3 linked regions of the Macaca mulatta genome follow. The protein of the gene in region 1 purifies or fractionates together with the protein of each later gene. This does not show direct contact. Links are inferred from orthologs where the notes say so. Each region holds a gene or a part of one and is shown in the gene's direction. Other genes may lie near its edges.

Region 1 (5,088 bases):
CCGTCTCTACTAAAAATACAAAAAATTAGCCGGGCGCGGTGGCGGGCGCCTGTAGTCCCAGCTACTCAGGAGGCTGAGGCAGGAGAATGGCGGGAACCCGGGAGGCGGAGCTTGCAGTGAGCCGAGATCGCGCCACTGCACTCCAGCCTGGGCAACAGCGTGAGACTCCGTCTCAAAAAAAATAAATAAATAAAAAATAAATAAAATAAAATGAGGACTGGCTGGGCACAGTGGCTCATGTCTGTAATCCCAGCACTTTGGGAAGCCGAGGCAAGCAGATCATGAGGTCAGTAGTTTGAGACTAGCCTGGCCAACATGGCAAAACCCCGTCTCTACTAAAAATACAAAAATTAGCCAGGCATGGTAGCGTGCACCTGTAATCTCAGCTACTCGGGAGGCTGAGGCAGGAGTAACACTTGAAACCAGAAGGCGGAGGTTGCAGTGAACTGAGATCACACCACTGCACTCCAGCCTGGGCAACACAGCAAGACCCTGTCTCAAAAAAAAAAAAAGAAAAGAAAAAAAGATATTAATTTAATCCATCAACAATGACATGCTGAAATTAAGAACTCTTCCTTACTGTTCACTCAGCAGTTATTTATTTTTATTTATTTATTTTGAGACAGAGTCTTGCTCTGTCACCCAAGCTGGAGTATGGTGATGCCATCTTGGCTCACTGCAACCTCTGCCTCCCTGGTTCAAGTGATTCTCCTGCCTCAGCCTCCTGAGTAGCTGGCATTACAGGTGCGTGCCACCACACCCGGCTAATTTTTGTATTTTTAGTAGAGACAGTTTTCACCATGTTGGCCAGGCTGGTCTCGAACTCCAGACCTCAAGCGATCCACCAGCCTCGGCCTCCCAAAGTGCTGGGATTACAGGCCTGGGCCACGGAGGTTGGCCAAGCAGTTCTTTTCAATACAAAGACTATGTAACTATGTTACCGAAGGTTAAAGATTTGATAGTGGGTTGACGAGGAATTTTTGTCTTGTCAGCCCTTTGTGGGCCAGAATATTTTGCACCGGCACTCTCCGCACAGAGACATTTAATATCATGGCCTTATCCGAAATTCTGACTTGACTCTGTATTTTCAGACTGACCTGACTGAATTTAGCAGCAATGTTTCTAGACACCTGCACTGACTAAAGGATTCCAGCCATCATCTCTTTGGTTTCACCTAGGTCAGACGAATGATAGTGAGTGGTGAATCCTTTTACAGAAACCAGACTTTCACCTGAGCTTTTTTAAGCTGGGTCACAGCTATGATAAATCGGCTCCCAAGTGGACAGCCACAGTGATATCATGCCACAGTGATAAAGGAGTCAAGGCCTAGTTCCAAGGCCAGCTTGGCACTTGTATGGCCTGTCTGAGCTCTCGAGATTATTGGGAGAAACAACAATTTGGAAACGGCCATTCCGCCCCCTCCTGGAGTCTTGCTTTCCGCGTCTCTACCGAGACTGATGGAACGGGCTTGCAGTCCCAGAATTTTGGTGAGGTGGAGGTGGGAGGATCGTTTCAGCCCAGGAGTTCGAAAACAGCCTGGGCAACATAGCAAAACCCGGTCTTACAAATACAAAAATTTTAAAAATTAGTCGGACGTGATGGCGTGTGCCTGTAGCGCCAGCTACTCGGGAGGCTGAGGCAGAAGGATCGTTTGGGCCCAGAAGTTGGAGGCTACAGTGAGCCGAGATCGCGCCACCGCCCTCCAGCCTGAGCGACAGAGTGAAACCCTGTCTCTAAAAGAAATAGAGGCCAACCCTGCAGAACCGCGTCTGCAGCCCGGGCTTTGTGACTTCTCTCCAACCCCCACCCAGTCACAGACGCGCCCACTTTCCGCCGCGCGCGCCGGAAGTGGCCGAGTCCCGTCGGCCCCTGCGGGGCGCTCGCCGTCGCCATGGAAACGAAAGCGGCCCGGGAGCTCTCTGCCCTAACGCGCCGGCTACGGTGGGCTCCGGCCTGCTACGCCGCGGCGGACAACGATGCTGAAGGCCAAGATCCTCTTCGTGGGGCCTTGCGAGGTGAGTCCCAGCCCGGCGCGGCAGAGGGAGCGGGGAGCAGGCCTCGGGGCCTGAGCGAGCGCAGGTCCCCACCCGTCTGGTCTGTGGCTTGCTCCAGGAGGCGGGAACCCGGGCCCACCGCGCCCATCCCGGCTGGCGCCCCTGCCCTTTCCGCGAACTCCGTGCTTTCAGACCTTGATTCCAACGACTGCCCGGAGGAGGTAGTGGAGGCGAGCCCGGTGTTAATGAGCCCCGAAGGCCCAAGGTACTGAGTGGCGTCACTGGAACCACAGCCTAGATTTCGTGACTCTTTCTCTTGCCTCCGGGATCCACCTGATGAATGCGTCTGTGGGTCTGGACTTTTGTTTGAGACAGGTTCTCGCCCTGTCGTCCAGGCTGGAGGGCAGTGGTGTGATCATAGCTCACTGCAACCTCGACTTCCCTGGGCTCAAGTAGTCCTCCTGCCTCAGCCTCCTGAGTACCTGGGACTACAGGCGTGCACCACCACGCCCGACTAGTCTCGCCCTGTCACCCAGGCTGGAGTGCAGTGGCATGATCTTGGCTCACTGCAAACTCCGCCTCCCGGTTTCAAGCGATTCTCCTGCCTCAGCCTCCTGAGTAGCTGAGATTACAGGCCCACACCATCACCCCTGGCTAAGTTTTGTATTTTTTGTAGAGATGCGTTTTCACCTTGTTGGCCAGGCTGGTCTCTAACACCTGACCTCAAGTGATCCGCCCGCCTCGGCCTCCCAAAGTGCTGGGATTAAAGGAATGAGCCACCACGCCTGGCCTTAATTTGTTAATTATTTGTAGAGACAAGATCTTGCTATGTTGCTTAGCACCTAGGCTGGTCTCCAACTCTTGGGCTCAAAAGGCCTCCTGCCTCAGCCTCTCAAAGTTCTGGGATTACAGGTGTGAGTCACTGCTCGAGGCCTGGGCGTTTTACTATATGGTCCTGGAACCACTGGCTATTAATGTGTTTGTTGGGGGTGTGGTAGTGGGGATCAGATCACATCTACATGTAAACTTCACATCATCCACAGAAATAAAGCTCAGATGAACTAAAGCTAAATGCGTTAAAAAACAAAACAAAACAAAACCAAAAACAAAAAACTGGCCAGGCACGGTGGCTCACGCCTGTAATCCCAGCACTTTGGGAGGCCAAACAGGTGGATCACCTGAGGTCAGGAGTTCGAGACCAGCCTGACTAACATGGTGAAACCCCATCTGTACTAAAAATACAAAAATTAGCTGGGCATGGTGGCGCATGCCTGTAATCCCAGCTACTCGTGAGTCTGAGGCAGGAGAATCACTTGAATCCGGAGGCGGGGTTGCAGTAAGCCAAGATCGCGCCATTGCACTCCAGCCTGGGCAACAAGAGCGAAACTACATCTAAAAAAATAAATAAAACTGATAGAAGTCTTAGGCCAGGCGCAGTGGCTAACACCTGCCAGCACTTTGGGAGGCTGAGGTGGGGAGATCACTTGAGCCCAGGCATGCGAGACCAGCCTGGGCAACATAGGGAAACCCCATCTCTACAAACAATACAAAAATTAGCTGGGCATGGTGGTGCACATCTGTAGTCCCAGCTACTCAGGAGGCTGAGGCGAGAGGATCACTGGAGCCCTACAGATCAAGGCTGCAGTGAGCTGTGATCATGTTGCTGCACTCCAGCCTGGGCAACAGAGCAATACCTTGTCTCAAAAAAAAAAAAAAAAAAAAAGCAATGTGTATTACTCATATAATCCAGATGGACAGACTGCTCCATGTGAGATTATAAGACAGCTAGCCATGAGTCCCCAGGCTGACTTTGATCCTCTCTGTGACCTAAAAGAACTCCTTGGCCAGGCGCAGTTTCTCATCCCTGTAAACCCAGCACTCTGGGAGGCCCAGGCGGGTGGATCACCTGAGATCAGGAGTTCGAGACCAGCCCAACTAATAAATACAAAAGTTAGCTGGGTGTGGTGGTGGGCGCCTGTAATCCCAAATACTTGGGAGGCTGAGGCAGGAGAATCATTTGAACCTGGGGGTTTCAGTGAGCCCAGATCACAGCCTGGGCAACAAGAGTGAAACTCTGTCTCAAAAAAAAAAAGAACTTAATCCCATGCTCCCTGGGCCCCAGACCAGGCTGTGCCCACTGCACTAGAGCAAGACAGTGTGGTCATAACCACCCCAGTGATCTCAGGGTGCCAATGACCTATACTGCACCGCACCAGCTTCCAGGCCACCTCTTGGGGTGATTTTTTCGGTTTCCTTTTCTGCCTTTCAACAAAGACCTTTATTTGCACTCATTTTCACAGAGTGGAAAAACTGTTTTGGCCAACTTTCTGACAGAATCTTCTGACATCACTGAATACAGCCCAACCCAAGGAGTGAGGTGAGCCCTGACAAATCTGTGTCCACAAGAGTGCCCAACTGGCTGGGCAGGGAGGCTCATGCCTCTAATCCCAGCGCTCTCGGAGGTCAAAGTGGGAGGATCGCCTGAGCCCTGGGCAATATAGGGAGACCCCATCTCAACTAAAAATAAAACATTAGCCAGGTAAGTTGGCATGTGTCTGTAGTCTCAGCTACACAGTAGGCTGAAGCAGCAGGATTGCTTAAGGCCAGGAGTTGGAGGCTGCAGTGAGCTATGATCGTGCCACTGCACTCCAGCCTGGGTGACAGAGTGAGACCCTGTCTCAAAAAAAAAATTTAATAATAAAACAATCTAAAAAGACTGCCCAGCCATCACCCACCTCCTACTTTTGTTGCTGTTGGCATTCCAAAAGTGTAATGCAGCTTCATTATTGGTGCTACTGCTGCTCTTCTTCTTCGTCCTGTCTCCCAGGCTGGAGTGCAGTGGCACAATCTCGGCTCACTGCAACCTCCACCTCCCAGGTTCAAGCGATTCTCCTGCCTCAGCCTCCCCAATAGCTGGGATTACAGGTGCCCACCATCATGCCCGGCTAATTCTTTTATTTTTAGCATAGCGAGGGTTTCACCATGTTGTCCAGGCTGGTCTCGAACTCCTAACCTCAAGTGATCTGCCTGCCTCAGCCTCTCAGAGTGCTGAGATTACAGGCATGAGCCACCGCACCCAGCCTACTGCTCTTCT
Region 2 (4,262 bases), on another chromosome or scaffold:
TGAGTAGGATAAGGATAGAAGTTCTCCACAAGTTCATTTTCTTCCATTAATCATCATTCTTTGAGTATAGCCACTCAGAGTTAGAAATATCTACCTAGAGTACTGGCTGTCACCCAATTCATATTTCTCTGTCGGGTTCACAGGGTATCTTGAGAAGCTTTGTCTGAAGCTTTGTCGAAATGTTTAGAACATGTTCCAAATGGGTAGGAATTCCATCAGACAAACAGAAATGTATAGGTTTGGTTTAGCTTGTAAACTAATGTTACTGCTACTTCCAATTTTAGTACTTCCTTGGTTACATTTTCAAGGCTACCATTTTAATAATGAATTTTAATAATTTTAGGGTTTTGTTGAGAATTAGCATTCAAGTTTATCAATCTGTATTTACAGAATTCATCATCTTTCTCCTCTTAAAACTAAGGCTTGACAATTCATCCCACACTGACTGTTTTTCTGGTATCAATAGTGTCAAAAGCTGTGGTAAGATTGATAGAGAAAAGAGGCACAAAAAATTAAAATATATGTGTTTTCTTACCAATGTTACCACACTTTTAATACTATCGATACTAATTTTTAAAATATAATAGAAAGTGAACTGTATTCTAATAAATAAAAACTAAGAATAAATGCATTTTTATAAAATACTGATACTGGCCGGGCACAGTGGCGCATGCCTTTAATACCAGCACTTTGAAACGCTGAGGCAGGAGGATCACTTGAGGCCAGGAGTTTTAAGACTAACCTGAGCAAGCTGGGTGTGCTGGCTCACGCCTGTAATCCCAGCACTTTGGGAGGCTGAGGTGGGCGGATTACGAGGTCAGGAGTTTGAGACCAGTCAGGCCGACATGGTGAAACCCCGTCTCTACTAAAAATACAAAAATTAACCTGGCGTGGTGGCGGGTGCCTGTAATCCCAGCTACTCAGGAGCTGAGGCAGGAGAATCGCTTGAAACCGGGAGGCAGAGGTTGCATTGAGCCAAGATCGTGCCATTGCACTCCAGCTTGGGCAACAAGAGTGAGACTCCGTCTCAAAACAAAGACTAGCCTGTGCAGCATAGCAAGACCCCATCTCTACAGAAAAAAAAAAAAATTTTTTGGCCTCCCAAAGTGCTGGGATTACAGGCATGAGCCACCGCACCCGGCCTAATTGAGTATTTTTATGGTATTCCATGTTGTTCTCCTCTGTTGACCTTCTTCCTGTACCTCTGTGTTTTTGTTTTTTTGTTTGGCTAGGGTAGTCAGGGACTTATTTTGTGAAGCAGAGTGGCAGAAATAGTCATGTCATATAGATTATCCCTGGGAGAGGTTTCTTATATAAACAAACATGTTAGAGTCCCTCCCACATGTTGAATAGCTTGGCTGTTAAACCATCTGCTAGGCAACAGCCTTTCCTTCTCACTTGGTTTTCTCAGATAAAGTTTAGAGAATCAAGAAGTTGCTTTTTTTGTTATTTTTTGATTTGCAGGTTAAACATTTTAAGATGAGAAAAATTGATCTCTGTCTGAGCTCTGAAGGGTCCGAAGTGATTTTAGCTACATCAAGTGATGAAAAACACCCACCTGAAAATATCATTGATGGGTAAGAGTTACTATAGTTTGTTGTTTACAGTCTTAAATCAGTGAATCCCTTGAGTACTTGGACTGTGTTTTATAACAACTTGCCCTATTAAACATAGTTTAATAAATGTTTGGTGAATTATCTGATATCCACTTTTGGTACCATTTCTGAAACTAATTCAGTTGTGTATATTTAGGTTTTTGATCCTTTTCTTTATAATGCCTAAACTGAACTCTTCATACAAATAGGTTTTTTTAGAAGTGGTTTACCAAGGCAAAAACTCAAACAACTTCATTTTATGGAAGTGTAAATTTTAAGGTCTGGTTTTGGTTTTACTCCAAGTTTTTCTTGGAATAAGAATGTAAATATTATAACTTCCTATATACTACCTATTTCCTTACTGGTCTAAGTGATATCTTTGCAGAACTGAATGCTTCATTCCGTGCTATCACGTATTGTTTTGCCTCTCCCCTTGTTGATATCCTTCCAATTTCTACTCTTCATTGTGCTACAGCTTTTTCTAGGTGGATATTTTTCTAAATATTGTTCTTAGACTTCTGATTCCAAGAAAAAGCAGTTAATGGGAGAACTCCTTTTTTTCTTTTTTTTTTTTTTAAGACAGAGTCTCACTCTGTCACCCAGGCCAGAGTCCAGTGGCGCCATCTTGGCTCACTGCAACCTCCACCTCCCGGGTTCAAGTGATTCTCCTGCCTCAGCCTCTTGAGTAGCTGGGACTACAGGAGTACGCCACCACACTGGGCTAATTTTTGTATTTTTTAGTCGAGACGGGGTTTCACTATATTGGCTAAGCTGGTCTCAAACTCCTGACCTTGTGATCCACCCACCTCAGCCTCCCAAAGTGCTGGGATTACAGGCATGAGCTACTGAGCCCACCTGAGAACTCCTTTTTATTTTGAGACGGAGTTTTGCTCTTGTTGCCCAGGCTGGAGTGCGATAGCACAATCTCGGCTCACCAAAACCTCCACCTCCCGAGTTCAAGTGATTCTCCTGCCTCAGCCTCCCGAGTAGCTAGGATTACAGGCATGCACCACCACGCCTGGCTAATTTTGTATTTTTAGTAGAGATGGGGTTTCTCCATGTTGGTCAGGCTGGTCTTGAACTCCCGACCTCAGGTGATTTGCCCACCTTGGCCTCCCAAAGTGTTGGGATTACAGGCGTGAGCCACCGTGCCTGGTGGAGAACTCCTTTTTTAATACTTCTGGCTTATTACTTTCTTGAACCCTCTTTCTTGGTATATGTACAGTGACCAGAGTTTGACTCATAGAACCATCTAATTTTAGGCCTGGAAGGACTTGTGGGTTTATTTTGCCAAAACCCTTTATTTCAGACTTGTGGTGAGAGAGGTCTAAGGAGGTTAAGTACTACTTTTAATTATTGAAGGCAGAACCAGTTGTAACAGAGGTTTCATGATACTTTATGTATCTTGAAGCCCATGTATCTGGATGAAATTCTAGCAACTCAGCCTCTTCCTTGAAGCCTAGTTGTAATCTTTATGACAACTGACTTTTCCCCTCAGATTCCTTTAGCTCTTTGCTGGGGTCCAATAACAGTTGGTATATACCTCTGTTACCTTACTTTTTCCTTTATTGTATTGTTTATTTTTAATGGTTGTTTCCTCTCTCAACTGTGAATTCCTAGAAGTCAGAGACTTTTTCTATGAGTCAAACTTGACTAATATTGGAAAGTAATCAACATCTACACACACACGCATACATATAAACACATATATATGCACATATTACTCTACATTTGCATAGGGCTTTATAATTTCATAGATACTTTGTCAGTTGACCCTTACAGTAATCTTGGGGAATAAGAAGCACAAAAAAGTATTTTCAACTCCTTCGTAAAGATGAAGAAAAGAATGATCAGATGACTTGCTCAAAATAAAAATGACTTGCTCAAAATTACACAGATAAGCAAGAGGCAGAATCAGCTAACACTCATGTCTTCTAACTTGTACTCAGGGATCTTTGTGCTACACTGGGTTAACTCAAACTTAGTTTGAATCAAAAATTTAATATCTGCTTTTTGCCTGTGTCTCTTCTTTCTTTTTCTTAGTTGTTTACTTCCTGAAATTCAGGTAATAGTTACTATCCTACTCTGACTTGGAGTAGAAAAATTAATATGGGAATTGCTTTAAGAATACACAGAACTGTGGAGATTTGCCTTAAGTTGTTTGCCAGAAATAGAGGACTTTCCAGAAACACTCCTTGATTTTGATTGGAGATAGATTAGTTTTCCAAGGCAAGATCAATTTACCTTGCAATACTTTGGTGATCTTTCTCTCAAGCGAGTCTGTTTTATATGTTTATAGAATGTTAGGATTAGCTATCATATATTGCAGTTAATATTTTAGGCTCTGTCCATTTTGATAAATAAGGACATAATATTTTTTAGATTAGACAAAAACTCTTAGTACAGGAAAACATAAGGAATAATGTAGTTACTCTCCTGATAACTGAACAGAGTACATAGGGGACTTTTAATGCATATGCAGTTCTAGAAAATATAATTAGACTGTATATTGTAGACACTAAAAGTTAATTTCTGGCCAGGTGCGGTGGCTCATGTCTGTAATCCCAGCACTTCAGGAGGCTGAGGCAGGCAGATTAGTTGAGGTCAGAAATTCAAGACCAGCCTAGCCAACTTGGTAAAACTCTGTCTCTACTAAAAATACCAAAA
Region 3 (4,066 bases), on another chromosome or scaffold:
AATGGTATTTGCCCTACTGACTTTTCACTTTGATAACCTTATTAGTATCAGAAACAAGTTAGCTGTAGACGGATTAAAATGAAAAGTGTGTTCTCATTTTTCTAACAAAAACAGGATATTGTAGATACATTTCAAATTTCAGTTATCCAAAAATGTGGCCCTTCTATACTTTGTAGTGGCAGACACAAGAAAGAGATCAGTGAGCCCTTGAAAGTCACGTTATAAACACGAACATATATGTTCAATCTCTTGTATTAAGTTTTCTTCCAAAAAACTGCCAGGCATCCACCACTTACCTCATTTTTTGCAACTGTTAAGAAAATTGCCCGATACACAATCCTTTTGAAAACTGTAAAGCTGGGCCATTTCTGTGGTCAGTTATGTACCTTTTCTTGAATTTTCTAGGTCAATAACTGCAGAATACAGTAGTAACACCCTATCTTTAGCCACACTTAGAGCTTTAGGGCAGGGAAATTCCTTTTAAGACCATCTCTATTCTGCTGGATTTAACGAAGTACCCAAAAACTTTATACTACATGTTATGGGTTTGAAACAGATTAAGCAGCAGGCTGGAAGCTTAGTATTCTTGTTTTTGAAGTAAAACAAAGCCTCCCAAATGCCTCCTTTTGTTCGTTGTCTTCTTCCTCATCCTTCCAACCACTTTCCTAGCACTGGAGTAATAGCCAGGCAATGCAATACAGTACTTCAAGCTTTACAGTATACTGTTATGTGCAGCATTGCCTAGTGAGAGAAAGATAAAATTAAAAAAAGAAAGAACGAGAGAAACCTCTTGTTGGAAAGTTCCTGCAGTAAAAGTGAAACCTATGGTATTGACTATCTTTACAACTATGAACAGCTTCTCAATTCTGAGAAAATAAAGGTATCAGTGGGCCAGTGCAGCCTTCAATACTGCACGTCTTCACCTCCCTTTAATCTTTTTAACAGCTACTAGCTGACCCAGATGCCCGCTTAGTTGCCTTTAGCAACCACCAGGTCCAACACACCTCAAGCCAGCTCAGAGTCACTAGCCGCCTCTCCTCAGTCTTCCAGAAGCCGAGGGAGGAGAGGCAGCGGGGGGTGGGGCGCGAACACCACGCCTCCATGAGGGGCGGTGCTGCTTCCCGACCACCATTTCCGCGGAGGCAGGGCAAGAGGCGGGCCACGGGCGACGTCATTCAGGAAAGCCGCCCTGATTGGAGGGAAGGAGGCGGAGTCTAGTTTCCCTGGTGACGGGTTGTCCGGTGGTCGCCTGGTAACCGGTCGTGGCTGTACTGGCTGCTGCAGGGCTGGCGGCTTAGGCCGCAGAGGTCTGTGGGCCTGAGCCCACGCTGCACTCTGTCCGTCCTGCGATGACTGCTGCCCTGGCCGTCGTCACGACGTCGGGTTTGGAAGATGGGGTGCCTAGGTCCCGTGGCGAAGGGACCGGGGAAGTGGTCGTGGAGCGGGGGCCCGGCGCGGCCTACCACATGTTCGTGGTGATGGAGGACTTGGTGGAGAAGCTGAAGCTGCTCCGCTACGAGGAGGAGTTCCTCCGGAAGAGCAACCTGAAGGCCCCGTCCAGGTGGGTGCCCGTGTCCCCAAGCGCCTGGGTGCCTGCTAGCCTCCAGGGAGATGCCCTCCTTGGTCCTGCTGGGAACCAATTCCGTGAGAGCGGGTTAGCAATTCCTTGCCTCCGTCTGCCTAGCCAGAGAAGGGCACTTCACTCCAAACTCCGGGGAGGTCCGTGGAGCTCACGCAGCCCTGACTTGCTGTTTTTGTAGAGAGAATAAATAAGTTTTGGAACGGCAGAAAGGATTGGAAGACAGCTTGCCTGTTTTTTTTTGTTGTTGTTGTTGTTTTTTAACACACACGCATTACCACAAAACACAAACTGTATTTTATGATTGTAAAGATAAAACAAATACTCATTGTAGAAAACTCAGAAAAACACAAGAAAATGTCTAGAAAAATTATAAAACCGCCCAAAATCTCGTCTCCAGAGAGGAATGCCATTATCACTTAAGGCTTTTTTTCTAGTTTGGGGTTTTTTTGTTGTTGTTGTTTAAGACCCTGTTTATACAACTGGGGACCGTGGGTACTTACGACCCTGTTAAGGAGCGCTTTAAATGCGGCTAGTAAACTTGTTAACTACTTGCTATGGTTTAAAAGACTTCTGCCTTTGCAATAACCATACTCTCAGAAACTGAAAAGTGGAAAAGACGAATGACAACTATTGAATTGTCTCCTATCATAGAACCTAAAGTTCTACCCTTGTTCCGGTGGGGGAGAAGTCCAACATATCCTGAACGCAGTGCCATTACTTGCTGAGGGTAGTGGTCGGCTAGGACCTTCTCCTCAAATCACTGTAGCTTAGCAGTAGCCAGGTAAATCAGTTTTATAGCTTTTCTTTCACTTTAATACTTACGTTTATTTTATTCCATAAAAGGCAATCAATAGTAAGAATCTATAGTACTTAATGTCTACAGCCAGGCTCAAATAATTTCCCTTGATAGTTTTAATCTCATTCCACTGCTCTCTTACAATAAATTGAATTGAAAGATATGTAGGCTTTATGTAAACTGTTCATATTAAATTAGTCCATAGTCGGAGAAAAGATAAAGGAAAAAAGTAGTGTTGCTTGATCCATGTTAGAAAAGGTAGTCCTGGGATTATTAAAGTGAATCGATCAGGATAGTATAGACAACCAACATTTCCTGTATTAATAAAAATGCATTTTTTTCCAAGTGTATTTTTCAAATGAAAAGAAAATGACCTTAAGGTTCTGTTGATGTCATCTCTGTGTCTTCAGGGGTTCAGCAGGACACTTTGAATCATGGATTTGTGTGGGAATATCCTAGTCTAATGGTTCTCAAAGTGTGATCACCAGACCAACAGCATCAGCATCACCTGGGCACTTACTAGAACTGAAATGCCTCAGGCCCTTTCCCAGGTCTATCTACCTTTTCAGTAATTATAAGGATGGGGACTAGTGGTCTGTTTCAGTAAGTCTTCCAGATGATTCTGATGGACACTAATATTTGAGAACCACTGTCCTAGGTTTACAGTATCTATTGGTGTTCATTCCTGTGCTCTAGAGGAGTTATCTGCCAATAAGGAAAAGATGACTTTTTGGTGGGTGGATGCTTTGAAAGGATAGTTAGCATATACCTGGAAGGACTTCATGGCCTTTTTTCTTCCCAGCTTTCTGTTATCTTCCAGAACGTTTACACTTATCCTGCAGGATAAAGTTTGGGAAACATGAAGGAGTACACGACTGATTTTTATGACAATGATTATAATTGTTGTAAATACATTGCAAACATAATAATGATAGCTACACATGAACAAGAAAAATAAGATCTTTGATTAAACTGACTTGAATGTTGTTGCTAGTGAGTTTTATTCCTATAATGTTTAGGTATAAATCATACTGATCCTCATAGAACTGTGTTTAGCAGACCAGGGGATTAAGCAAGAGCCCACAGATGTTTTTTAGATTGGTGATGTGACATTCACAGTTTCTTAATCCTGACTACACCTTATAAACATGTAGAAAGCTTTTGAAATATACCCCATACTGGGCCTACACTCACTGAAGTTCTGATTTAATTCATTCATGAGGGAAGAAGCAATGTTTGGCCAAGTACCAGTATTTTTATTAGCTCCTCAGGTGATTGAATATGCAGCCAAGATAAAAACAAATGTTTACCATAGGTGATAGGTTAGAAAGAGTAAAAATGCATAATGAGTAATCTTTTGAGATCTCTTTTAAACTCTGAGGTCCTTCCAGATTACCATTTTCGTTAATAAGGTACTAATATATTATTACTGACACTTAAATCATTTTGACAAAAACTCTACATGCTCTGTGCTCTAACAGGCACTACATTTCCCGGGTGTAAGGTCTTTGATCTCATATTTTGGGTACAGTAGTAATTGCGCTAATCCTGATGATTTAAAAATTTAATGTGAGTGCTGTGGATTACTGGAAACTTGAAAGGGTGAATTATCGAGGCCTTTTGATTTGATGGCCATTGGGGGGAAGAAAGATTGTTGGACAGTTGTGAATTCGGCCCTATTAGTTATT

Evidence for each region. Proteins that work in one complex are often made in the same cells at the same time.
Region 2: the proteins of IFT22 (region 1) and IFT25 purify together in Homo sapiens (affinity purification with mass spectrometry; 3 studies listed by BioGRID and IntAct, with this or other methods). This does not show direct contact. The link is inferred for Macaca mulatta from reciprocal best matches to the Homo sapiens genes IFT22 and IFT25.
Region 3: the proteins of IFT22 (region 1) and IFT57 purify together in Homo sapiens (affinity purification with mass spectrometry; 3 studies listed by BioGRID and IntAct, counting the BioPlex papers as one, with this or other methods). This does not show direct contact. The link is inferred for Macaca mulatta from reciprocal best matches to the Homo sapiens genes IFT22 and IFT57.

Annotation. Positions count from the first base shown.
Region 1 is NC_133408.1:48,589,858-48,594,945, reverse strand, and holds the start of IFT22 (intraflagellar transport protein 22 homolog), read left to right. Parts: upstream 1-1,879; 5' UTR 1,880-1,976; coding exon 1,977-2,015; intron 2,016-4,294; coding exon 4,295-4,371; intron 4,372-5,088. UniProt on the Homo sapiens protein: Small GTPase-like component of the intraflagellar transport (IFT) complex B.
Region 2 is NC_133406.1:186,671,223-186,675,484, forward strand, and holds the start of IFT25 (intraflagellar transport protein 25 homolog), read left to right. Parts: upstream 1-1,462; 5' UTR 1,463-1,479; coding exon 1,480-1,577; intron 1,578-4,262. UniProt on the Homo sapiens protein: Component of the IFT complex B required for sonic hedgehog/SHH signaling.
Region 3 is NC_133407.1:175,430,679-175,434,744, forward strand, and holds the start of IFT57 (intraflagellar transport protein 57 homolog), read left to right. Parts: upstream 1-1,266; 5' UTR 1,267-1,349; coding exon 1,350-1,561; intron 1,562-4,066. UniProt on the Homo sapiens protein: Required for the formation of cilia. Plays an indirect role in sonic hedgehog signaling, cilia being required for all activity of the hedgehog pathway.